Tamandua tetradactyla: one gene and its partners. The protein of the gene in region 1 purifies or fractionates together with the protein of each later gene. This does not show direct contact. Links are inferred from orthologs where the notes say so. Each region holds a gene or a part of one and is shown in the gene's direction. Other genes may lie near its edges. The genes, in order: ARHGDIA, RHOC and EZR.

Region 1 (7,652 bases):
TTCTGTACAAACTGTGTTTGTGGGGCAATTCAACAGTCGTGATAGGAGATTCATTAAAAATAATTCCAGCTGAGATATTCAGAAGTAGATAAAACATTACTCATTTAGTGATCCGTAATAAAATAAGCAAGTGCAAAATGGTCATTGGTGTTTGCTGGGGCTGCTGACCAGAAGTTTGGTGAGGGCACCTGGAAATGGGCAGCCTGGGGTCATGGCACCCACTGCCTCTCACTGCAGCTGACAAGCAGGCAAGTTCTGCAGGGAGCCTCGGCATCAGTGCAGGGAACTGGACCAGCCTAGGGGGACGGGAAAGCCTGCCATGCCAGTTTGAAGTATTATGTACCCCAGAAAAGCCGTGTTTTAACCTTGATCCAATCTTGTGGGTTTCTTTTAATCCGGGGTCAATATTGTAGGGCGGAAACTTTTGATTAGAATACTTCCACCGAGATGTGACACGCCCCATTGTGGGTGTGACCTTTTGATTAGATGGAGATGTGAATCATCCATTTCAGATGGGTCTTAATTAGTTTACTTCGGTCCTTTAAAGAGGAAACAATTTTGGAGAGGGCTCAGAACAGAGACATGGATGTTTGGAGATGCTTGGAGCCCAGCAGATGTCACCATATGCTTTCCCATGAGATGTTAAGTGAGCCAGAACCTGGAGAGAGCCAAGGGAAACCAAGAGATGAAAGCCAGCCCAGGAGAAGCAAAGCGATGAAGTGCCCACAGGAACAAAGACCTAAAGCAAAGGAGCCTAGGGGCACAGGAGCAGCAGATGCCAGCCACGTGACTTGGCAGCTGACAGAACTGCTCCAGACCCACTGGCTTTTCTTAAATTAAGGTCTCTTTCCCTGGATGCCTTAGTTTGGACATTTCTATGGTGTTAGAACTTTAAGCTTGTAATATAATAAATTCCCTCTTTAAAAGCCATCCATTTCTGGTATATTGCATTCCGGCAGCTTAACAAACTAAAACATGGGCCCAACCACACCTGGCTTCTTCCACGCCCAAAAGACACAAGCACCAAAAAGGAGATGAGAGGCACGTTATCCAAGTGCAAAGTGTGGGGAATAAACCAATCGGGAAAAAGGCTGGGGGCTCGGGTAAAATTGAGTGTGTGGATGTCATGGTCAGGTTCATGTGTCAACTCGGCCAAATGATGGTTGGGCAAGCGCTGGCTTGTCTGTTGCAATGAGGACACTTCAAAGAATTAAATCATGAGCATGTCAGCTGCCTCCACAGCTGATTCCATTTGTAATCAGCCAAAGGGGCGTGTCTTCTGCAATAAGTGATGCTTAATCTAATCACTGAAAGCCTTATAAGGAGGATTCAGAAGAAACAGGCTTCCAGTTTCAGCTGGCGAGCCTCTCCTGTGAAGTTCGTCCAGACCCTCAGAATCGTCGCCTTCACAGCCTACTCTGCGGATTTGGACTCTGCGTTCCCACGGTCACATGAGACACTTTTATAAATTTTATATTTGCGAGTGTTCCCTGTTGATTCTGTTTCTCTAGAGAACCCTAACTAATACAGTGGATTACCTGATAATATTAAAGCTTTTTTTTTTTTTTTAACTTTTATTGTGGGAACATTTACAATGTATGTAACATTTCCCACTTTAAGCCCTTTGAATTCTACAATTCGGTGTATTGATGGCATTCATGGTGTGAGCTCCCATCTCCACTGTCCCCACCCTGTAAGGGATAGTGAGGAAATCAGAAGTCCAGTGGCTGCACAGTGACCTGTTCCCCAGCATGGCCCCGGGTATCAGATCCCCTGCTATACAAAGCAGCACCGACCATCCTTGTAACTAAACCTTTGCACACAACTGTGATTTGTTTGGACTTTTATTTTGATCTTTATGGTGACATAACAAAGTTATGAGCATGACATAACTTTGAAGGGCCCACTTCAGTGGCCCCTCACCACCATCCATCAGCGGCATTTGCCCAACACTGCAAAACCATCCAGCACTTTCCTCCAGATGGATTCCATATGACCTGCTGGGCAGGTCAGCCTGGCAGCACCTGCATCCTGCATGCTCACAGCACTTGGAACTTTTTTTTTTTTAATACCAATTTGATAGAAGGCTCAAAATAGTGTCACTTGTCCACTGTGATGATGTGAAAGCAAAGCACCACCTCACACCCAGAGGATCTTGGGTCCTGGAGGGCTGGCACAGCCTGCAGGAAGCAGACAAAAGCCATGTGCCTGCACACTGGAGCACGGGCAGGCGCCAAGACACCACAGGACCAGCGATTGTCCTTCCAGCAAGGCCAGGAGACACAGAAAGGACCAGCCTCTTGGTCAGCTCATCTCAATGTTGGCAATTTACCTCTGTTCTCATTCAAACAGGAAGTAACAAACTCCAGGCATTCGAGGAGAGCTGGCTGCAACTACAACATGACGAATTTTTGTGAATTTTCTTGGTGTTCTGGGTACACCTCACAGCTCAGTAGTGTAAACCAGCTGCTGTTTTGTGATGCCAGATTCTGCAGGTGGTGAGGTGAGAGGCCAGGTAGGGGCCTCTGCGCAAGCCAGGGTGTGGGGGTAGGTCCACGCTAGACCACCTGGCTCTTATGTCTCAGGTTTTGGGATTGCGAGAAGCAAGGTCCAATGGCCTCCTGGTTGCCTGGATGTGCTTTGGTGCCAAGTCCCTGGAGCCAGCATGGGATGCAACCTCTGGAGGCCTTGGAAGGAGTGACTACTTTATGCATAAGGGGAATGTGAATAATTTGCAGTTCCATTAAAGGTCACACATCCTTGGCTTCTCTTCCTGATGAGCCCTCCCACCGGGGCTGGCCTGGGCCATGGCTCAGCCTGCAGAGGCGTGGTTCTAGCTCTTCTAAAGTGAAGTTGCAGAAGTCTGATGAACTTTCATTTTGGAGCCCTGCCCTGAAGGAGAGGCCTAACTCCCTTGGGAAGAGGACCTGTCGGGGGGCCCCCAGTGAACAGTGGGAGCTGCCAGCAGGGCACCGAGCTTTCAGACACAGACCTTTGGGTGGCTCCAGCACAGTTCCCATCTGACTGCAATGGGGCGAACAACCCAACAGAGTTGACTTGACCCAGAGAACACGAGAGAATGAGGCATTACTGCTTCAAGCCACCACAGTGGACTGGCTTGTTACGTAGCTGAAGATGTTCCTGAAACAGGTGGAGGACGTGGCTATTGTTTAAAAAAAAAAAAAAAAAGCTTTTTCTTGTAAACTGGCCCTGAAACATCTATGCTTGACGAGAAGTCTGAGATTTGCTTCCAGGTTGCGGTGCATGGGAGGAAGGAGACTGGCTACGAGGAGCAGCTGTGGGAGCTCGGGCCAGGCCCACTGGGTTCGGGACACACTAGTCTTTCTACCTCCGTGGAGGTGGTGGGCAGCTTCTAGGGTGGCCCTGGGGAGCCCACCTCTGGGAGCTGATGTCCTTGCCTCCCGTGTGACCAGGAGGCTGGGGCAGAAGTGATGGCCGGCACTTCCAAACGCAGGGACGAGATCGAGTGCCTGCTTGTTCTCTCTCTGTGGCCTGCAGCCCATAGCCATATGAGTGGCTTGGAAGTGGATCCTCTGGGTTTGGCTCCTCGGAGACCACAGCTTCCAGGGAGACCCTTAGCCAAGGACCCCCCAGCTCAGCTGCTCCAACCTCAAGCCAGATAATAAACGGTGGTTGTAAGATTCTAACTTTCAGGGCAGTTTTTCATCCAGCAATCTGTCACTAATAAAGTGTATTAGGAAATGTTCTATCCTAGAGGTGTGTGTGTGTGTGTGTGTGTGTGTGTGTGCTTGTGTGTGTGCAAGCATTTGGGTTACCAGGCAGCGGACTTCCTCAAGCAACTAATGACTCAAACAGGAGTACCAGCTCCACTGGAACATTCAGCCTCTACGGCAGCAGCGGGGAAACCTCAAAAGCAACTTCACCATCCAAAAGAAAGGAAGCCTTGCTTTTGGCCCGGCTAAACTCCCTGCGCTGCCAACTCTTAGCCCAGAAGATCCCAAGATAGTCCTCAATAATCACAAACGTTCCAAAAGCAACCAAGGTCAGTATCTGTCCAGCACTCTCGCAGAGACTGCTCTCGGGTGCTGAGTTTCCGAGGCGGGACAACACAGGTGTGCGTGTGCTGTGCCGGCGTCTGCCCGAGCCCGGGGAGGGTGGCCTGTCCAGAGCCAGGCCGTGGCCCTGCTACCCGCGGCCGGACAGCCAGCAAAGAACGCTCTGGTCCGTCCTGGGTGCTTGAGGGATGGCCTACTGTAGTACCGTACGCAGGGCGACATCTCCCGTTTCAAGGCACTGTTTGATTGCGATTCTGCCGAGGGCCGAGGTGAGAGCGTGGGGCTTGTACCGGGCGGGTCGGCGGGCGGCAGGGTTCCCGGGGGTCCAGGGGAGGGAGACAGCAGGACGGCCCGCGGCGCTGGCGAAGAGCACGCTAGGCCCAGGGCCTGGGCAGGAGCCGGCCCGCAGCTTCCGGGCCCGGAGGAAAAGGCACAGGCGGCGGTAGGGGGCGGTCCAGCTGCCGGCAACCGAGCGCCCCTCCCACGCGCAACGCCGGCCTACGGCCTTTTGGGGTACCGAGGCCTCCCCGCCGCGCGTACTCGCGGCCCTCAAGATGGCGGCGCGCGCCCCTGCCGCCCGCGCATGCGCCCTCGTCGACCCCGCCCGGCCGGAGCGGAAGTCGCGTGACCCCGGAAGTGACCGCGGGCGCGGGTGGGGCGGCGGCGACGTTCGTCATTCGGTGCGGAGGGAACGCGAGCGCCCGCGATCGAAGCCTCCGGTGGGTGCCCGCCGGCGCGGGGCGCGGGGACGAGGGGGCCCGGGAGTCAGGGGCGGTGCCGCGGGCGGTGGCGGCGGGCGGGGCGGGACCGCCTTTGTTCTCGCCGCCCCCGCGCCCCGCCCCACGGCGGCCGCCCCGGGGTCCAGGCGGGCGCGGGGCGCGCAGGGCCGGCGGGGCTGGGGCTCGCGGGGTGCGGGCAGCCGCCACGTGAGGAAAGGGGGCGGCGAGGCCCTTCTTTGGGCGGCACGTCTGCAGCTCCTAGCTGGGCCGGGCGGGGCCTAGGGCGCGCCCCTCCCCTGGGAACGGAGCGCGCGTGGGCGCCCGGCCGGGGTCGTGGTTCCCCTGTGCTTCTCGCTAGCGATCCCGCGGCCTGGGGCGGTGTCCCGAGCCCCTCTCCTCGGGCCTCCGTGCCCCGCCCGGCCGCGCCCGACCGCGCCCGGTCGGGATTGCTGCGCTCTGCGCGGAAGATCGTGCCCCTGGGGCCGAGGGTGCCCTGCGGCTACGCTGCTCCAGCGGGCGAGCAGGAGGCCTGGGAAGGGCTTGGGCCACCCCCGGCAGGCGGCAGCTCGCGGCCCCATGACACTGAATCCTTAATGTTGGCAGGTCTGCTCCGGGCTTGTCGCCTCCCGAGTGCGCCGAGATCTCGTGGCTCCCACTGACCGGAAGGATCGAGTGAGTGGGTTATAGAGAGAACTGCTGGGTTCCTCAACGGTGGTAGCGGTATCCTAGCAGGGAGTACGCTGCCCCGGACTTCCTGGGTCCTGAGAGGTCTGAGTGGTCCCCGCGGTTTCTCAGGCCTTGGTCACAGACTCTCACAAATGGAGAGGGCCTTGGCAGAAGCCCGGGGCCCCCACTCCCCTGAGACCCCTGCAGGGCTGGAGCTTTGTCTCTGGCTGCGGCTGGGGGAGGGACAGCATCCGTTGCCAGGAAGACCTAGTTCAGTGACCTGTGGGGGTGGGGGTATCACTTGGCATGTGTGAAGCAGCAACAGGGCCAGGGGCTTGGCTGGCGTGGGAGATGATTTAGCTCGAGGCCTACCAGTCGTGGGGTCCGGGGCCCACCTAGAGCCCCCTGTGCTGCACAGGAGGGCTGTGGGGCTGGGAGACCAGCCTGGCCTGGGTCATGTGGTATCCATGGCAGTGGGATGAAGTAGGGTGTGACCTGTGTCCTGCTGTCTCTTGATGCCAGAGGATGCCCATGGAGTCCAGGTGTCACGAATTGGGGTGGGCTCTGGACCACCCAGCAGAGCTGCCTGAGACAAGCAGGGCAAGGGGGTGCCCCCGTGTCTCAGGCTGTTCCTCTGGTGACTGGAAAGCTCAGCTGCAGAGGGAGGCCCCCTCGGGGCCCTGTGTGGCGAGGCCAGCTCTGCCGATGGCCCTCTTCAGCACAGTGCTAGCCGAGCTGGCAGCCTGGCCTGCAGCAAGGGCTGGAGGTGGCCCCAGTTTGACAGACTAGCAAACAGCTATATCAGAAGTCCAGGCTGCCACAGCCCAGTACTGTGCCCCAGGTGTCCCCGACCCGGCTCGTGGTGAGCATGGCCGAGCAGGAGCCCACGGCCGAGCAGCTGGCACAGATTGCAGCCGAGAATGAGGAGGATGAGCACTCGGTCAACTACAAACCCCCCGCGCAGAAGAGCATCCAGGAGATCCAGGAGCTGGATAAGGATGATGAGAGCCTCCGCAAGTACAAGGAGGCCCTCCTAGGCCGCGTGGCCGTGTCTGCTGGTGAGGCCCCTGCGGCCCCCTCCAGGGACACCTGTCACCCCATATTCCCACACTGCACCCCACCTCTGTGCAGAGGGGTGGAGTTCTGACTACCTGTCTTTCTCCTAGACCCCAACGTCCCCAACGTTGTCGTGACCCGCCTGACCCTGGTGTGCGGCACTGCCCCGGGCCCCCTGGAGCTTGACCTGACAGGTGAGGGTGCTGCCTGCTGCCGTGCTGCTATCCCTAGGGCCTGCTGCCCCCTGCTGGGAAGCTGAGCAGGTGCAGCCCGGCGGGCTGAGCCTTGGCTTTGTGAGCCAGGATACTGCCGGTTGCAGGGGGCCCTGCATGGGCCGGGTGGTGGTGGGTCCCAGGTCTAACAGGCAGCGGGGAGCTATCCTGCTCTGAACTTTTTGCTGATGCGTGTTCTCCTTTTGTCTAGGTGACCTGGAGAGTTTCAAGAAAGCGTCTTTTGTGCTTAAGGAGGGGGTGGAATACCAAATAAAAATTTCTTTCCAGGTAAGGCAGGGGCCGGGGGACCTCAGGGGGTGAGGCCTGGAGAAGCCCCCTGACCCTCTACCGGCATCCTTGCAGGTGAACAGGGAGATTGTGTCCGGCATGAAATACATCCAGTACACGTACAGGAAAGGGGTCAAGAGTGAGTGTGGGCAGTGGGCCCCGGCTGCCTGGGAGGTGATTGGCCCTGCAGGGAGTGGGTACAGGTGCCTGACGGCTCTGGGACCCGCAGGAGTGAGAGGCAGGGCTGTGCGTGTGTGTCCCTGTGGATGTGCCTTCCCGTCCCCATGCTCACTGCTGTCCTCCCCCTCGGCCACAGTTGACAAGACTGACTACATGGTGGGCAGCTACGGGCCCCGGGCAGAGGAGTACGAGTTCCTGACGCCTATGGAGGAGGCACCGAAGGGCATGCTGGCCCGGGGCAGCTACAACATCAAGTCGCGCTTCACAGACGACGACAAGACTGACCACCTGTCCTGGGAGTGGAACCTCACCATCAAAAAGGAATGGAAGGACTGAGGCCAGGCCTGGGAGGCGGCAGGGACGGACAGACATACCCCATCCCTCTCTATCCTCCCTGTCCCCATCCCCAGACCAAAGTGCTGACAGGGCCACCCCTTTGCCGCCTGCCCTTGCCCCATCTGCCTCCCGGCCGAGCTCTCCCAACCCTCCCTGCA
Region 2 (7,832 bases), on another chromosome or scaffold:
TATCTGCATAATATATACACACACACTCCCACACACCCCTACATGCACATGTGTGTGTGCACTCACCTCCAACTCTTCTTCCACTAGGGACTCTGCTTCTACTACTGGGGCCTGTTTGATGGGCATGCAGGGGGTGGAGCTGCTGAGGTAGCCTCGCGCCTCCTGCATCGCCACATCCGGGAGCAGCTAAGGGACCTGGTAGAGATCCTTCAGGACCCCACGCCACCCCCACTCTGCCTCCCTTCCACTCCAGGAGCCCCAGGCTCCTGTGATCCCTCTCATGTGGTTGGTCCTCAGTCCTGCTGGCCTTCACAGAAGGAAGTGACCCATGAAAGCCTGGTGGTGGGGGCCATTGAGAATGCCTTCCAGCTCATGGTGAGTGGATGACATAAGCCAGCGGTCCATGAAGAAGCTGCTCTAGTTAATGTGGGAATCTGGTGGCCTGGGGGTGGGGTGACCCTGAAAATCCTTGAGAGGTGGAGCAGAGCTCGCTTCAGAGGGGAGGGAAAGGAAGAATGATACCCATATCTTTCCTCTCCAGTGTGGCTTGGCTGGACCAGTTTATTTCTTGCAGATGGAAGGGGTGGCTGTGCGCCTGGAACCTTTTCTTTGTTTACTCCTCTGACTCTTCCTTGTGTGGCAGGATGAGCAGATGGCCCAGGAGCGGCATGGCCACCAAGTGGAGGGGGGCTGCTGTGCACTGGTTGTGATCTACCTGTTAGGCAAGGTGTATGTGGCCAATGCAGGCGACAGCAGGTATGGGGGGGGGGCTACTCTTGAAAGTGGCTTCAGGGGGCCACACTCTGAGGCAGCAGGGGTTAAATAAAAAATCAAAGGTTGAAGGGAGTCAGGAGGGATCATAGACACAAGGAAAGGCCTGAAATAGCAATGGGGGAAGGAAGTAAGGGGGTTTGGGTGAGGCACCCTAAGGGTCATTTGGGGGAAGGCCTGGTCTTTCTAGAATTCTCCATGTGGGGGCTCAGGAGAGCCAGGTTCAAACTTTCCCACAGCTCATAAGTTCAGGTAGTAGCCATACCTCACATGGGCCTTTCCTCTAACTGGGCAGGGCCATCATTGTCCGGAATGGTGAAATCATTCCAATGTCCCGGGAATTTACCCCGGAGACCGAGCGCCAGCGTCTTCAGCTGCTTGTAAGTAGGAACCAAACTCCCCACCCTTATTCTTTGTTGGGTTTTGTGCCTCTCTGCACCTTATGTCCCTGAGAATTCTCACATCTCACCATATAGACAGAAAGCTCCTTACTGTTTAATGGGAAGACCACTCTGTGGACTGTGGAATGCAGGGTTGAGCTGGGGGATAATGCAGCAGGAAAGAGCTCCCACTGTGGCCCCAGCTGTGGAAGGAAGGAGAGTGTGAGGTGGGGGAAGGAAATAGCGAAGGCCCCAGACTTAATGCTTAGAGAGCATGGCTTAGTGCTTGAAAGTCTGGGCCCTGGAGCTGGACTGCTTGGTAGTAAATCCTGGGCAAGTGTATTGCTAGTTTTAAGGCCTTGGACAATTCCCTTCGCCCCTCTGTGCATTGATGGTTCCTGTTTTAAAGGTTATTGCAGGATAAATGGGTTCAATCTAGGTTAATAGTAGAGCAGTACCTGGCATATAGTAAACTCTATTTAAAGGTTTGCTATTATTCATACCATCTATATACCAGCATGTACTGTTAACCCTGATGCCCCCTGGTCCTCTGCTCTGTCTGTCCACTCTCAACCCCAGGGCTTTCTGAAACCAGAGCTGCTGGGCAATGAATTTACCCACCTTGAGTTCCCCCGCAGAGTGCAGCCGAAGGAGCTGGGGCAGAGAATGCTGTACCGGGACCACAACATGACCGGCTGGTAACACTTCCCTTAGAGCTGGGGCCCGTTCCCATGGCAACGCAAGCAGTCCCTGGCCAGCAGCAAGGTGGAAGCTGGTGGCTGGGCCAGGCTGGAAGTTGGGGGGATGAGGCCCTCCTAAGGGGTCTGCTTGAGGGTGTGCAGCAGTTAGGGGAGAGGGGCTTTGATACCTGGGTGATGCCTCCTCTACTCCTCCCTCCCCAGGGCCTACAAAAAGATCGAGCTGGAGGATCTCAGGTTTCCTCTGGTCTGTGGGGAGGGCAAAAAGGTAAACTCCTGTGGTAGAGGTGGGAGAAGGCAGCAGGACCCACCACAATTTATCTAGGGATGTGGGGGTTTTCCCTGAGGGTAAGGGTGGAAGGGGGCTGTGGTTTCAGAGGGTCCAGGAGAGGACTACAGCAGCACCTCCTCCTCATTCCCTTCAGGCTCGAGTAATGGCCACCATTGGGGTGACCCGGGGCTTAGGAGACCACAGTCTCAAGGTCTGCAGTTCCAGTCTGCCCATCAAGCCCTTCCTCTCCTGCTTCCCTGAGGTGAGCCGTGTGGGGCCCCTGGCCACATCTTTGCTCCTCTGGGTGCCTTGGGTTGGCTTTCTTCAGGGCTCTCTTTAATCCCCAACCTCCCGGTCCACCAAACCCTGCACCTCGTCCTTTCTACCGTCTTCCCCTCTAGGTGCGAGTGTATGACCTGACACAGTATGAGCACTGCCCGGATGATGTGTTGGTCCTGGGGACAGATGGGCTGTGGGACGTCACCAGTGATTGTGAGGTAGCCGCCACTGTGGACATGGTGCTGTCAGCCTATGAGCCCAATGACCCCAACAGGTAGGGGCAGCATGGCATGGTGGTGGAGGGATGGCACTGGGGAAGGAAGGTGGGCAGAGAGAAGCAATGCTTGGGGACCCATATATGGGCTTCAGTATCATTCCCAGATAACATATTGATACTTAAAGTGCACATGTGCTTCTGGCAGGTACACAGCTCTGGCCCAAGCTCTGGTCCTGGGGGCTCGGGGCACCCCCCGGGATCGTGGCTGGCGTCTCCCCAACAACAAGCTGGGTTCCGGGGATGACATCTCGGTTTTTGTCATCCCCCTGGGAGGGCCAGGCAGTTACTCCTGAGAGAGACAGCCCCATCTCTCCCACTACCACCTCAGCCTCTCCTTGCCCACCCCTCTCCCAGCCCAAATGCTGAAGCTGTCCACTTGATTCTTCTTTAGAGGCAGTTTACTTGAAGATGGGGGTGTTACCTAGATCCAAAATTACTGCAATTGGTAAATAAATCCGATGGATAAAGTTGTGTGTCTTTATTTACTTTGCCTAGAAGCTGAAAGGAAGGAAAAGTTCTGTGGGGTAGTGGAAAGAACACCAGAACGGTTCCAAAATGTGTTCCCCCCCTCTTCTCTTCCTACTCCACACCCCCTCTGTGAGCATTCTCATCCACTCCTGTGGCTTCACTCATCTGCTGGTATCTTCCAAATCAGTATTTCCAGCCCAGGCCTTTCCTGTGCTTTAGACTTACACAACCCAAGTGTCTTTTGAACAACTCCTATATCCCACAGGTACTTCAGCTCAACATACCTCATCCTGAATTCATCATTCCCTCCCATATCAATATACCTCATACTGACTTCATCATTCCCTCCCATAAACATCTTTTCTCTCCTGGTTTTTCCTCTTAGTGGGCACCAGCTCAGTTGTCCACATTAGAAGTCTTAGGGTTGATCCCCCTTGGCTTCCATTTCTTCTGTATCAAACTGATCAATCACTAAGCCTTGCTGGTTATATGTTTTTAAATAGCACACCTTAGTTCTTTATTTTATCAGCCTCCTAACTCATCTCTGTCTCCAGGCCTCCTCTTAATAACCTGCAGACATAGCAACCAGAGTGACTTTTCCACAGTGAGAACCTAGGTTGGTTATTCCTCTGTGAGAACATTTCATGAGATCCTTTTTGCCTCAGGACAAAATACACACTCAACTGAGTGTGGCATATAAGGACTTTCATTACCTGCCCATTGCTTCCTTCTCCAGCCTCATCTTTCACCACCACCATCCTCAAATCCCACCCTCCTGGAGTTCCTCCTATTCATTATTTAAAATCTACACATCACCATATCTTGGACACTTCAGGTCTGGGGATCCCACAGCCCATGCATGCCCCATGACAGCCACTACCTCACTGTATTCTAACTGTCTCTATCAGGAGTCAGGAGGGCGTACAGCAGGGGCTCTAGAGTCCAGCTGTATGGATTCTGCTGCAAGACCCAAAATGAGCTCTGAAACCTCTCTGAGCCTCAATTTGCTCAGTAAAATGGAGAAATTAATGGTACTACCTCATAAGGTTGTTGGGAAGATTAAAGTAACTAATGTGTATAGAGCCACATAATTAATAGAGTTCAATAAATGTTAGCTATCTTTAAGTTGTCTGTATCCTGCATTTAGACTGTAAGCAGGCAGAAATCGATCCTCGGTGCATAACTCATAGTTCACACTCAATAAACGTTTATTGAGTGAGTTAATAGGTCCAGGTAGAGGGCTGCTCCGGATCTCCGTTTCCTCAGTTATCAAATGCGTGGCTTGCGTTTCAGATCTTTAAACTCTCTGTTATTTCGAACATTCATCCATTCAGCAAATATCTGTTGAAAATCTATTACGTGCCACATATGGTGCTAGAAAGTGAGGAAAGGACAGGTTAGAGGAGCATAGCCAGGAGAAAGCACCAGTTTTGGAGCCAGAAAAACCTGGGCTCGAATTCCTGCCCCTTCTCTGAGCCTCAGTTTCCTCTCTGGCAAAAGAGATCGCGGAGGACCTGTGGTGAGGGTTGAGCGTTACAGCGTGCGCGTGTACCCAGCGGGCGCCAGGATACTGCAGACTTCCTCGTCCCCCATCTCGGTCCTCAGGGAAGGAGATCACAGGTGTACGCACCGACCCGGTGCGACAAGTTAGACTGGGCTAACTGCCCCTGGAGGCACACAAATGATACAATGGGAGTGAGAACTATAGTCCCAGCTGGGGATCCGGAAGGATTTCCAGGAGAGGGAGGTAGGAATTAGACATTTGGAAACCGCGGTTTGGGCCTGTAAGGTTCAGAAAGGTCTTCAAGGCTTGGGGGATGGCGCGGGGCAGGGTACTCACCAGGCAGTGGGGCTGCAGGGGGTGGGCGTCTTCCGCCCGGCCCGGGTTTCCAGCCTCGCCTCCCGCCAGGTCCCAGGTCGGGCCGGAGCGGACGGCTGCTCGGCCACCGGAGGGCAGCAGCGGCCCTTCCTGACCCCACCCCGAGCGCCTCTCAACTTTCCCGACGCCCGCCCGCGCCCAAGGGCTGGAAGGCGGGGCCGAGGCTGAGCTCTCGGGGGGCCTGCCCGCCCCTCCCCCCCCGCAGTCACGGTTGCTCCCCACTACTTTCGTCCCATCCCGGGACAGACGCCGCAGGTCCCAGGCCGCGGGGGCCCAGGGCGGGCGGAGCTAGGGGCCGCCCCCGGGCCGACCCTCCCCTTGCCGGGCCCGCCCTTCCCGGCCGGCCCGCCCCTCGCCGCCGCGGCGCTGAAGGAGGGCGAGGCGGGGCCCCTCGGGTCAGTCTCAGCCTCCCGCACCGGCCACGCAGCTGGAGGCGCCCGAGCGGAAGGTAGGCTGGGCCAGGGGCCAGGGGCTGGGGACGCGGGGGTCCTGCGCGCCGGGGCCCGGGAGAATACTTTCCGTCCCTCTCTGCGCCCGCCCGGGGAGGCGGCTTTGGACCGAGCGCGGGCCGCGTTCCCTCCCCTCGGACACGGCGTCCGGGGCTGTGCGGGGGCCGGGCCCGGTCGGCTTCTCCCGCGGTTGCAGCGAGGCGTCTCCGGGAGCTGCCGGCCAGGGCGTCTCACCTCCCAGTGTCCGAGCCCGAGCTTCTTTCCTTCCTCTCCCGGCTTCCCGGAACCTGCCTCCGCCGGGCGAGGGGGCGACTTGGGGCGCCGCGAGGAGCCTCCGCCAGGCGCCGCAGCTCCCAGGCCCGGCGGCTCGCTTTGGACCCGGGGGAGGAGGGGGGGAGGGGGAGGAGGGGGGAAGTGGGGGAGGTGGGTCCGAGTCCGACCGGGGGTGGGAATCCCCCCTCGCGGACCCCGCGAGTGGCGGGAATAGGGGCGGGGTGTGGCTGGTGGGGGCTGCCCGGCCGGGCTGGGTCTGGACCCCGCCCTAGATGATTCTGGAGCTTGTCTAGGGTGGGTGTTGGAGAGGCGCAAGGGAAAGACCCAGACACCTTCTTGTGGGGTAAAAGAATCTCCTTCCTTCCACTTCTAAGCTGGGCCAGAGATAACGTAGGGGATTCCGGCTGAGTCCTGCTCTCGCCTCTGGTTTTAAAGTTGAGGAGGAGAGCTCTCCTGCGAAGGATTGAGGGGCGGGTGGGTCCGGTCACAGTGTCTTGTCTCAGGGAAGGCCCCCGAAGTTCCAGGCTCCGTTCTAGCCTGCACGCGGGTTTAGGGGCTCCTGATGGGCTCCGTGGGGCGGATCCTCCGGGCTACCTCTCACAGGGAGCTAGCTGTTGTCCCTGCCATATTGGCCCTGGGCCTGGTGGCCTGGCCTGGCTGGGCCCCGGCTGCTCTCCTGCCCAACTAGAGCTCAAAGGGAGAGGCTTCTGATGGAGGCAGGGGCTTCGGATTACTGGGTGCTGCCCCCTGCCTTGGCGTTCTGGACTCTGCCTCCCGCAAGCGCTGCGACCTAAACTGCCCTACCAGAGCAGGGCGTACTCGGGTGACTGGCATTTGCCCCAGTGGTGATTTTTCTCCTAAACATCGCTCTCCCCAGATTGGGATTACGGCAGTCTGTCTTCACACAGCTGGACCAGTTGAGCAAATGAGAGTGGATGGGGAAGTTGGACAAAATCCTGATGTCAGTCACCTGAACGGGGTTATCAGGGAACCCCCCTTTTTGCAGGATGGTTTTCATTTTTGCAGGGGGGGGCTCTGCTGGCAGAGTGAATGCCTTCTTGCCTGCCTTTCGGGATACTCTGGGAGACTTTTGTGGCTGTGTGCTCTCAACTCCTATAAATTCTCTCTGACTCATTTCCACTTCCCCTCATCTCATTTTTGTGAATGTGTGGAGGGGAGGGAGGAGCCCAAGTCCCCATCGTTGAGAAGAACTAGCCTTGGGCTGGAGGATTCGCTTCCAAGAAGGCAGAGCTGTGAGGTGGTATGTGGGGAGCAAAGGAGTTCAGCCCAGTTTTGACAGGATGTGGGACTGAGAGAGAAAAAGCCTGGTTTGGGGCTGAGATCGGGTTACCATCCCCTTGTTTCTTAAACAATCCCTGCCTGATTGGTGCTGGGATTGGCCCTCATTTGTCTCTTCTTTTGGGGCTCCTCCCAGCCCGGGCTCTTTTTTCCACCCCTTTTCCAGCAACCTTGACTTCTTCTCAGCTTCAGAGCCCGCCCTCTCTTCCTCCCCTGCTGCTGTAGGCCTGAGAACCTCAGCTGGCTGGAGGTCTGCACCTCCCCAGGGAAGGAGGAAGTGAGGCTCAGTTCAGGGGCGAGGAGCTGGGAAGGTGTGATGAGCTGTGCAGATGCACAGCCCTGTGTGTTAGGGGTGGGGGCACATGGAAACCCCGGAAGCTGACTTCTTACCCTGAGTCACAGGGAGGGGTGGGCAGGGCCTTTGAGTTCTCTGGACAGTGGGGAGGAGGGGGCTGTTCCAGGGAGTGGGTGGAGGTGATTCCCTAGTGGATTATTTTCAGTCGCTCTGCTGTGGCTCTGTGTGGCTCCCTACAGTGTGGTCATTGTCCCCTGCCTGGGGCTGAGTGACCCAGTGTTGCTGCCAGGCCCAGGAGGAAGGGGGGAGGAAGGCAGGCTGCCCGAATGTGGGCTGTGGGCACTGCCAGGACTGAGCCTTCTTTGTGTGACTTGGAGCTTTGGGGACCGAGGGTGGGTTGGGCTAGGGAAGCCGGCTGGCTGCTGCCACTGTCCTCTGTCTGGATTTCCCTGCATCTACTCTTCTTCCCACCTCTAGGGTGACGTATAGAAAA
Region 3 (7,758 bases), on another chromosome or scaffold:
AAACATCACCCATGTAGTGGAAACTGAATAGCCTTCTCCAATTGCATCATCCAGACATAGCCTCTGTTCTGAATTTTCTTTTTTTTTTTAACATGGGCAGGCACTGGGAATCGAACCCAGATCCTCAGGCTTGGCAGGCAAGCATTCTTACCTGCTGAGCCACCGTGGCCCGCCCTGTTCTGAATTTTCACCCGAGGTTATAAAGTCCTGGAAAACAATCAAAATCCGTGTTTTACCCAGGATACTTTTTTTTTTGATGTTCCAACAAAACTTTATTTACAAAAGCAAATGATGGGCCACTTGTTTGCTGTTACCTGGTTTAGAAGATATACATTATGACCATTAAGATAAAAATACTCTTATCAAAGTCATGTAATTGCTAGTAGAGAGAGGGAAGGGAACAAATGAATCCTTTCAGAAATCTAATACAGTATTAATATAGTATTTTGATTCACCAACATCACCTCCTTTGGGAAAGCACTCCCTTCCCCGTTCTAATTTGTTCTCATAAACTGTCAATCATGGGGCCTTGCCTCACTCACCATAGTGGAGGGCAAATGATCCATACTTGGTGACCAGATTCTTCCTCCTGGATACGTGACTCTTCAGTGAAAAAAATCACAATGTCTGAACACTTGGAACTTAATTATCTGATATTAATGCTCTAGATAATCCATGAATTATTGCTGCTAAAATCTCTGGTGCTGTACTGCTTTCTGTCTTTCAAGTTTGGAATGTACTATTCTCCCTTTTTATTTCTCTCAGTTTCTCAGTAGTAACACAACAAATCCATTTTTCTTTCCTAAATAAGAGGTAGTTTCTATTGCTTGCCTCTAAAGAATCTTAACTGGTTTAGCAGACAAAGCAGCTTTCCTATCTGAGGACATTTTAGCACTTTATGCCTCCCCATGGTTTGGGTAAAAGACTCTAGGGTTATTTGATATAGATCTTTCGAACCCACTAAACGAAATATCGGAGGAAACAAGAATAAGGATCAGAAAAAAAATCTGTGAGTTCTCCTTTAGGAATGCTGAACATAATGGACTCAGCCTTAAACAATTCATAAAAGGAACAAGCATATTCAAAAGACTGCTTTATATTTACCATTGATAAAACCAAGCTATTAAACCAACTTAAATCCAATAAGGCTATTTTTGTTGTTTATTTTGTTTTTAATTTCCAAGTACATTTTACCAAGAAGTTATTCAACAGATTTTAAAGTTTGTATGAGTTATAGTTCCGATTTTTCATTTTTTGTTCTAAGATACTGGAGACCAAAAGAAATACCAGTGTTGATTCAGCAGTCATATTCATTTGTCAAATCCTATCTTCTGTATTGTATTCTTTGCTCTTTCTTTTTTGTGAAAAAATAACATACTTACAGAAAGCAATAAATTTCAAAGTACATTGTTACAACTAGTTGTAGAACAGATTTCAGAGACTAAAACAATTATCAACATACTAATTCAGCTAATTAAAAATACTTATTTGTTAAACTCTGCCTTCTCTGTATAAACTCCACCATCATCTTTGATCTTTCTCTCACTCTTTAGGGGTATTTGGGCTATGGCCCTTCTAACTCTTTCACGTTGGAAGGGGCTGTTGATAATGTGGGATAGGGGGATGGAACCAGTAGATGTTCTGGAAAGGCTGGCCCCTCTGCATTTCAGGACTTCTCCGGTCCAGGGGCTCACCCCAAGGATATTTTTAATGTATTTCCCTATTACTGTTCTCTTGAAGTGGCTGAGACTTCACATAATTTTAAAAAATTAATTCAGATTAACCTGGCACCAGTGTGGAGATATAACAGCAATAGGCCCTGATGTGATTTTATATAAAATCTATCTAGGTATCAAGGGACTGTGAATGTTCTGTGTACAAGTTCTAGTCCTTGGCACGGTTTCTAAAGCTGCTGTGAGGACTGTCTACCTCACTTTTGGTTAACCTTGCCCCGCAAACCCCAACCAATTTACAAACCAGGCTGGTGAGGTAGACAGATGATTACCCTCTTCCTACTGAAAAACTAAAACCCTTCAATGAGGAATGAGTCATTCAAGGTCAGTCAACTAGACTAAAAGAAAGCAGGGGATAGGATCCAAGATTCCTGGCTCCAGTGTTTCCTTATTTCCTGCAACTGCATTTATTATCATACATTAAACAAAACCATGACTTAAAAATACAGGAGAATAAGTTGCCAAAAAAGGCTGAAGGGAGAGGCAAGGTAAATAGCGTCTATCAAGATCCTGCCAAATCCTAAGTCAGTTGTTTCTTAAATTTAGGTATAAGTCAGAATCACCTGGGGATCTTGTTAAGGGCAGAGGCCCAGGATCCACTTTAGGATTACTGACCTACAATCCCTAAAAGTAGGGCCTCCTTGAGAGATTCCAGTGTACACCAAAGCTTGAGAACCACTGTCCTAAGCAATTCCATAGGTCACCTTGTTGTTCAATCTTCTGTATGTATATTGTATGTGGAGGTGTGGAGGCAGCGGTAGGGGAAGGGTTTAGGTTCTCAAGTCAGCTGAAAATAAAATACCCTCGGAAAGTCCCCTGAAAACAACCATAAAATACAGTACAAATGTTTTTGTGAAGAAAAAAGAAATGTACAGTAGGATATAAGTACAATACTTAGAGAAATATATAGAATGAGGAATACATATGTAAAATATGACTTTAACTTATAAAAGAAAGAGGATTCTTAAAGTCAGATTTGAGTAAGTTAAATGCTTACGAGTTGATGGCATAGAATACCATGAAATATATATTATTTCCATTTTTTGAACGAAGAGGTGGAAGAAGCTCAATGAGGTTAAGTGATTTGTCCAAAGTGACCAGCTTTTAAGTGCTGGAAGGGGAATTCAGACCCAGTTTAGCTTCCTTCCAACACCTGCCATTTTCTCGTTTTTACCACACTGCCACAGGCCATGTTATTTTTTAGCATTCCCTGAAGAGTAAAGTTCAGAAATGCTCCAGAAGGTCTTGGGCCACTGCTATTTCAAACATCCAGTTTAGAAAGCCATATACTTTGAACTGAGTAAGATAAAAAATGAGAGTAGAAGCATGTTCTACCTGCAGAGTTGGGAAATCAGCATGGCTCCAGGCAGTGATGAAGTGAATACCACAGCCACTTGGACACATATCATTCGGGTTATTTAAATATTATTCATGGTTTCCTTCCTACTGCAGTGATCATTACTTCTTTATTTAAGTAAAAAAAAAAAAAAGAAAGAAAGAAGGGAAAGAGGAGGGGAGGGAGGAGGGGAGGGAGAAAGGAAGGAAGGAAGGAAGGAAAGAAGGAAGGGACGGAGGAAGGAATAAATTCAGTTTTTCAGAGGGAAGACATTTGCTAGGAGAGAAGACAAAAGCTCAGGCAAGGCCGTGCTCCTCACCTCCGGTCTTTGAATTGCTTAGATTTGGGAGGTCTCGGGTGGACTGACCTAGGGTAACCTAAAAAAAAAAAACAACTCGCTTTGGGGACTGTAGTATCTCAGTTAATCGGAAATCCTAGGTAGGACGTGCTACTTTCCCCACTTTATATTTACCAAGTTTTAGTTTGATACTTTGTGCAAATCGCGGATTACTCTCAGTGCCAGGCTCAGTTCTAAACATCTTACATGTATCAACTCATTTAATCCTCTAACAACCCTATGATATGGCATACTGTTATATGCCATTTTACAGGTGAAAAGACTATAAAGCACAAAGAGGTTCAATAACTTGCCCATTCTGACAGTGAGTTGCTGGGCAACCGGGAAAGTAGTTCAGGAGAAGATCTGGATGGCAACCTTCAGCCTTCATCCCAATCACCAAGGGCGAGGGTTGGGGAGGGAAGGGTGTTGCTAATACCCAGGCTCCTGGGCCCCACCCCCAAGAGTTTCCCATTGAGTAAATCCGAGAATTTCAGTTTGTTCGTGTTCCTGGGTGGTGCTGATGCCGCTAGTCTGGGGCCCACACTCTTGAGAATCACAGTTCTAGAACTCGCGCCCATAATCACTGTGCAACAAATTCCACTGGTCACCAGATGTGCGTGAGTTTTTGTTTTAAAAAAAGATTCCTTTTGAGAACCATTTGCCAAAAAAAAGGATAAATTCCTAGAATTTCAGAGGAAGCTTCCTACGGCATGAAATAAAGTTTTTTTTTTTTTTTGCTAGTCAAGTCAAACGAGGGCACAAATTGGTCCTTTAGTCACTGCATTCCGCGATCGTTTCCTCTCCTTGTAGCTTAGCGGAAACGGAACCGGAGGCCCGGTGGCCTAATGCGCAGAGACGCCCATGCCCGCCAGGTCCCGCCGCTCGGTTCCTGGGACTGCAACATTCCCTGACCACGAGGACGGCCCCACCCCAAACCCGCACAAGTTCCCAGGGCTGCCCGCCACAACGCACTGATTTAATTCCCTTGACTTCCGTCTGTCACCTTACGTCTGCTATCAGAAGTTAAACCAAATTCTGCCTAGGTTTTCTCCAAGGGCGAGGGAACGGGCCACGGGGAAGGCCGAGGTCTTTAAAACAACAGAAACAGAAAGCAGGGCGGGGGGTGAGGGGCAGGGGATAGCCTGCCCGAGTTTCCTCCGCTCTGGGATGGCCCCGCCGGGGTACAGGGGGCCGCCTGCGAGGCCGGAGGGGTCGGCCGGGCGGGAAGGGACGCCCGCCGCCCGCGGCCATCTTGCGCTCACCGGGGCGCACCTCACTCGTTGGGCGGCCGAGGGGCGGGGCGGAAGGGGGCGCGGCCGGGACATCCCCTCCCAGCCTCGCCCGGGACTGGCGAATGCGGACGGCGGCGGCACACCACGGACGCACAGACAGCGGCGACAGCACAGCAGACCACTTGGCAGACGCCGTGGGTAAGCCGAACGCTTCTGCCCCGGGGTGCGGCGGGGGGCTGCTTAGCGGGGTTGGCGCCGTGCCGTCGGCAGAAGGGAGCCGGAGGTAGGGGGTCGACGACAGCTGTGGCGGGGGCGGCCGGGCCCGACGGGCGGGGGGCAGCCGTCTCGAGTCCGGGGTTGGGGAGCCAGGAGCCAGCCCCTCTCTCCTCCGCCTCGCTCGAGTTCCCTTACCCGGCACCGCTCACGGTCGACCCCAGATCGTGGCAGGTGGTGGCCGCCGGCTGCGGAAACGCCCGCCTTTCTTCCACCCTCTCCCTGCACATCCCCCTTCTCCTCCCCCCGGGAGTGGAAGCGGGGCCCGGGCGGCGCGGACGCCCCTTCCTTCCTGCCGCACTCGGGTCGAGCGGGCCCTTGGCCGCTTCCCGGCAGTTAAAATTTTAAAAAAGTGTTTCTCAAAGATGTGACTGTTGTGGTTTCAGCCCGGGGGCGAACGGTTGCTACACAAAGTGAAACTTACTGTTTGCTGGTTTACTCGTTGCTTCCTTGAAACCCAGAGAAGCACCTCGCTGCCCACCCTTCGGCGAGACCCTCGTCTTCCGGGCCCCTCCCTACCGCTCGCACCTCCTCGCGGGAGCGCTGAGGCCCGCGCCCCCTTCCCCGCCGCCCGCCTCCCGGGGTCGCTAATGCTCCCTTCCCACGTCTGTCTCCCTGCCCGGGCCCACGCCCCGAGGTCGCCTGCGGCCGGCTCCCCCTCCGCCAGCCTTTCGGCCTCGAGCGCTGGGCCCGCCCGGCCCGCAGTAATTGTGGGTTGGGCGGTGACTCACCCGGGCGCCCGCCGGGCGGGTTCTTAAGCCGCGGCGCGCGGGGCGGGCGTGGGGTCTCCGTCCTCGGCGGGAGGATCCCAGCAGCCCTGTGCCTTACAGGACTGTCCTCTTCCTCCAGGTTGGAAGAATCACTTCGGCCTCTCCCGCGGAGCTGAGTTTCTAGAGAATCGACGAAAACACGCCAGGAACCGAAAATGCCGAAACCAGTAAGCAATCCAGTTTCCGACCCGGGCGGGATACTTCAAGCTTTACTTTCAAGCAGGGTCACCTGCATGAAGTGTTGTGGAAAGTAGTTGTAGTACAGGGTTCTTTCTTAAACGAACGAAAGGACGGGAATAGGGAATTGCCTTGCTCTTGGTCATTTAGGTACCTTGTGGAATTCTTCAAGAAAACATCATGGTACTTTTCTTTCTACAGTTTGTGTGTGTGAGACATCCCTCGGTCCCCATAGCTATGGTCCTTTTTAAAACAAATAGAAGCCCCTATTACACTGCTTTATAGTGTGTTCTAAAAGCGTATTCTGTTGCAACTTCTTAAAAAGAAAAGTTGTCTACATGGTAGGAAGACGCTAAGTGGCTTCAAGAGGACATGCACCGACTTGGATTTAAGTGTGGAAACCAAATGTAACCGACTTCTTCCTTTAGCCCAGGAGATGCTGTTTTTCTGGCTGTCAGCTTATGGTTCATTTTACAGCAGGCCTGTGAAACCCGTACTGTTAACCAGGGAATTTGCTGGTAGCAGCAGAATTCCTATCTCTAGAAGAGGTAATGGACTTGAATTGCAGATGAAGGTAGCCAGTGGAGCTTGATAAGGAGGTTCCTTAGACTCTTGCAGGTCATGCATTCCTGGTAAACAATACCTGATTAAAGTTCTCCTGTGCCCTTCACCCCTGTCACCTTGAATCTGATTGTTTAGTACTGGGTTAGATTGCTGGCCAGGCCTGGAGGGTTACAGCCTTTGAGTTGTGGGAATAAATCTGGTTTACTGCAAATGACATTTCTTAGAAACTTGTGTGTATGCTCCTGGCTTTAACACAGGTGAACTGGCGACTAGACATTGGGGAGATGGCTTAAAATTTTAAATTGAATTTTGAATCACAAATGTGGCTGGGTTCCCTCAGAATTGCAATAGGTTGGTTTTATAATCAACAACTGGTTAAATGTCGGTTTTATTCCTTCCCATTAAACTGTAGAGTCTGTAAAAGGAGTTCTTGATTAAGTCTTATTTTACCGTTAAGAGTAAATTAAATTACTATAATGATATGTTAATAGATACAGAAGTAAATATTATTTTTACTTGTTCTATCTTCAAGGTGATTCATTTGGGATCCAGAACATCTTTTTCCTATACAAAATAATTCTTTTCTTTTCAAATTTACAAGTGACACGTGAAATCTGGGCTTTATAATGCCAATGTTGTAAAACTGACTTCTCTAATCAGACATAGCTCAGTTAACACTTTATGCAGAAGAGTAGTCAAGAGGTGCCACTTCCAGTGTGATTTTCTTTATTTCACTAAAAGAAAAGATGCAGAGCTTAGCTTTATTTAAAATGGCACTTAGAAAACAGCAAATCTGTTTCTTATTCCTATTTTTAAAAATTTTCAGAATGAACTGCCATTTATTTTTTTGGTTGCAGGTGTGTTTTGATTTCATATTCCTAAAGATCTTTTATGATGGATCAGAAACTTGGACAATGTTCTTACAATGTGAAGATAGTGTTTGCACTGTTCAGGAAGGATAGTAGTTGTTACCTTGTATATCAGTGTTCCAATAACTAGAAATTCTGTAATTTTGTATAATATCTAAATTTATGCTTGTCAGACGTTCTTGAGGTCTACTTTTAGATGAACCACACCTGTTTGCTGTAGGAAGTTCCTATCTGCCCGTTTTTCTTCTGGGAGAGCCTTGGTAAGATAAACATTCTGGGGATTTTCTTTGTGTGACTTTGTGTTAGGCCCACCCCACAGACCACTGAGAAGAGTTGAGTAGCCTTCAAGGGACCACTAAGACTGTTTTAGAGAATCTAATGCTTTTTTTCTCTTGCCTTCCTCAGCAAATGTAAAATCTCAAACATCACCAACATGTTCTTTAGATGTATCCTTTAATTGAAAG

The links.
Region 2: the proteins of ARHGDIA (region 1) and RHOC purify together in Homo sapiens (affinity purification with mass spectrometry; 4 studies listed by BioGRID and IntAct, with this or other methods). This does not show direct contact. The link is inferred for Tamandua tetradactyla from reciprocal best matches to the Homo sapiens genes ARHGDIA and RHOC.
Region 3: the proteins of ARHGDIA (region 1) and EZR purify together in Homo sapiens (co-purification; 3 studies listed by BioGRID and IntAct, with this or other methods). This does not show direct contact. The link is inferred for Tamandua tetradactyla from reciprocal best matches to the Homo sapiens genes ARHGDIA and EZR.

What each region holds. Positions count from the first base shown.
Region 1 is NC_135332.1:74,062,330-74,069,981, reverse strand, and holds ARHGDIA (rho GDP-dissociation inhibitor 1), read left to right. Parts: upstream 1-4,649; 5' UTR 4,650-4,756; intron 4,757-5,359; 5' UTR 5,360-5,428; intron 5,429-6,263; 5' UTR 6,264-6,290; coding exon 6,291-6,480; intron 6,481-6,588; coding exon 6,589-6,672; intron 6,673-6,901; coding exon 6,902-6,978; intron 6,979-7,053; coding exon 7,054-7,117; exon of another isoform or gene 7,118-7,294; coding exon 7,295-7,494; 3' UTR 7,495-7,622; downstream 7,623-7,652. UniProt on the Homo sapiens protein: Controls Rho proteins homeostasis. Regulates the GDP/GTP exchange reaction of the Rho proteins by inhibiting the dissociation of GDP from them, and the subsequent binding of GTP to them.
Region 2 is NC_135337.1:9,332,448-9,340,279, forward strand, and holds the start of RHOC (rho-related GTP-binding protein RhoC), read left to right. Parts: upstream 1-4,775; 5' UTR 4,776-4,833; coding exon 4,834-4,891; intron 4,892-4,984; exon of another isoform or gene 4,985-5,312; intron 5,313-5,354; exon of another isoform or gene 5,355-5,471; intron 5,472-7,832. Other genes in the region: PPM1J (protein phosphatase 1J), read left to right, coding at 88-375, 644-756, 1,067-1,151, 1,731-1,849, 2,054-2,117, 2,275-2,382, 2,522-2,673, 2,822-2,969. UniProt on the Homo sapiens protein: Regulates a signal transduction pathway linking plasma membrane receptors to the assembly of focal adhesions and actin stress fibers.
Region 3 is NC_135328.1:151,859,577-151,867,334, reverse strand, and holds the start of EZR (ezrin), read left to right. Parts: upstream 1-4,727; 5' UTR 4,728-4,839; exon of another isoform or gene 4,840-4,924; intron 4,925-5,338; exon of another isoform or gene 5,339-5,622; intron 5,623-5,763; 5' UTR 5,764-5,839; coding exon 5,840-5,851; intron 5,852-7,758. UniProt on the Homo sapiens protein: Probably involved in connections of major cytoskeletal structures to the plasma membrane. In epithelial cells, required for the formation of microvilli and membrane ruffles on the apical pole. Along with PLEKHG6, required for normal macropinocytosis.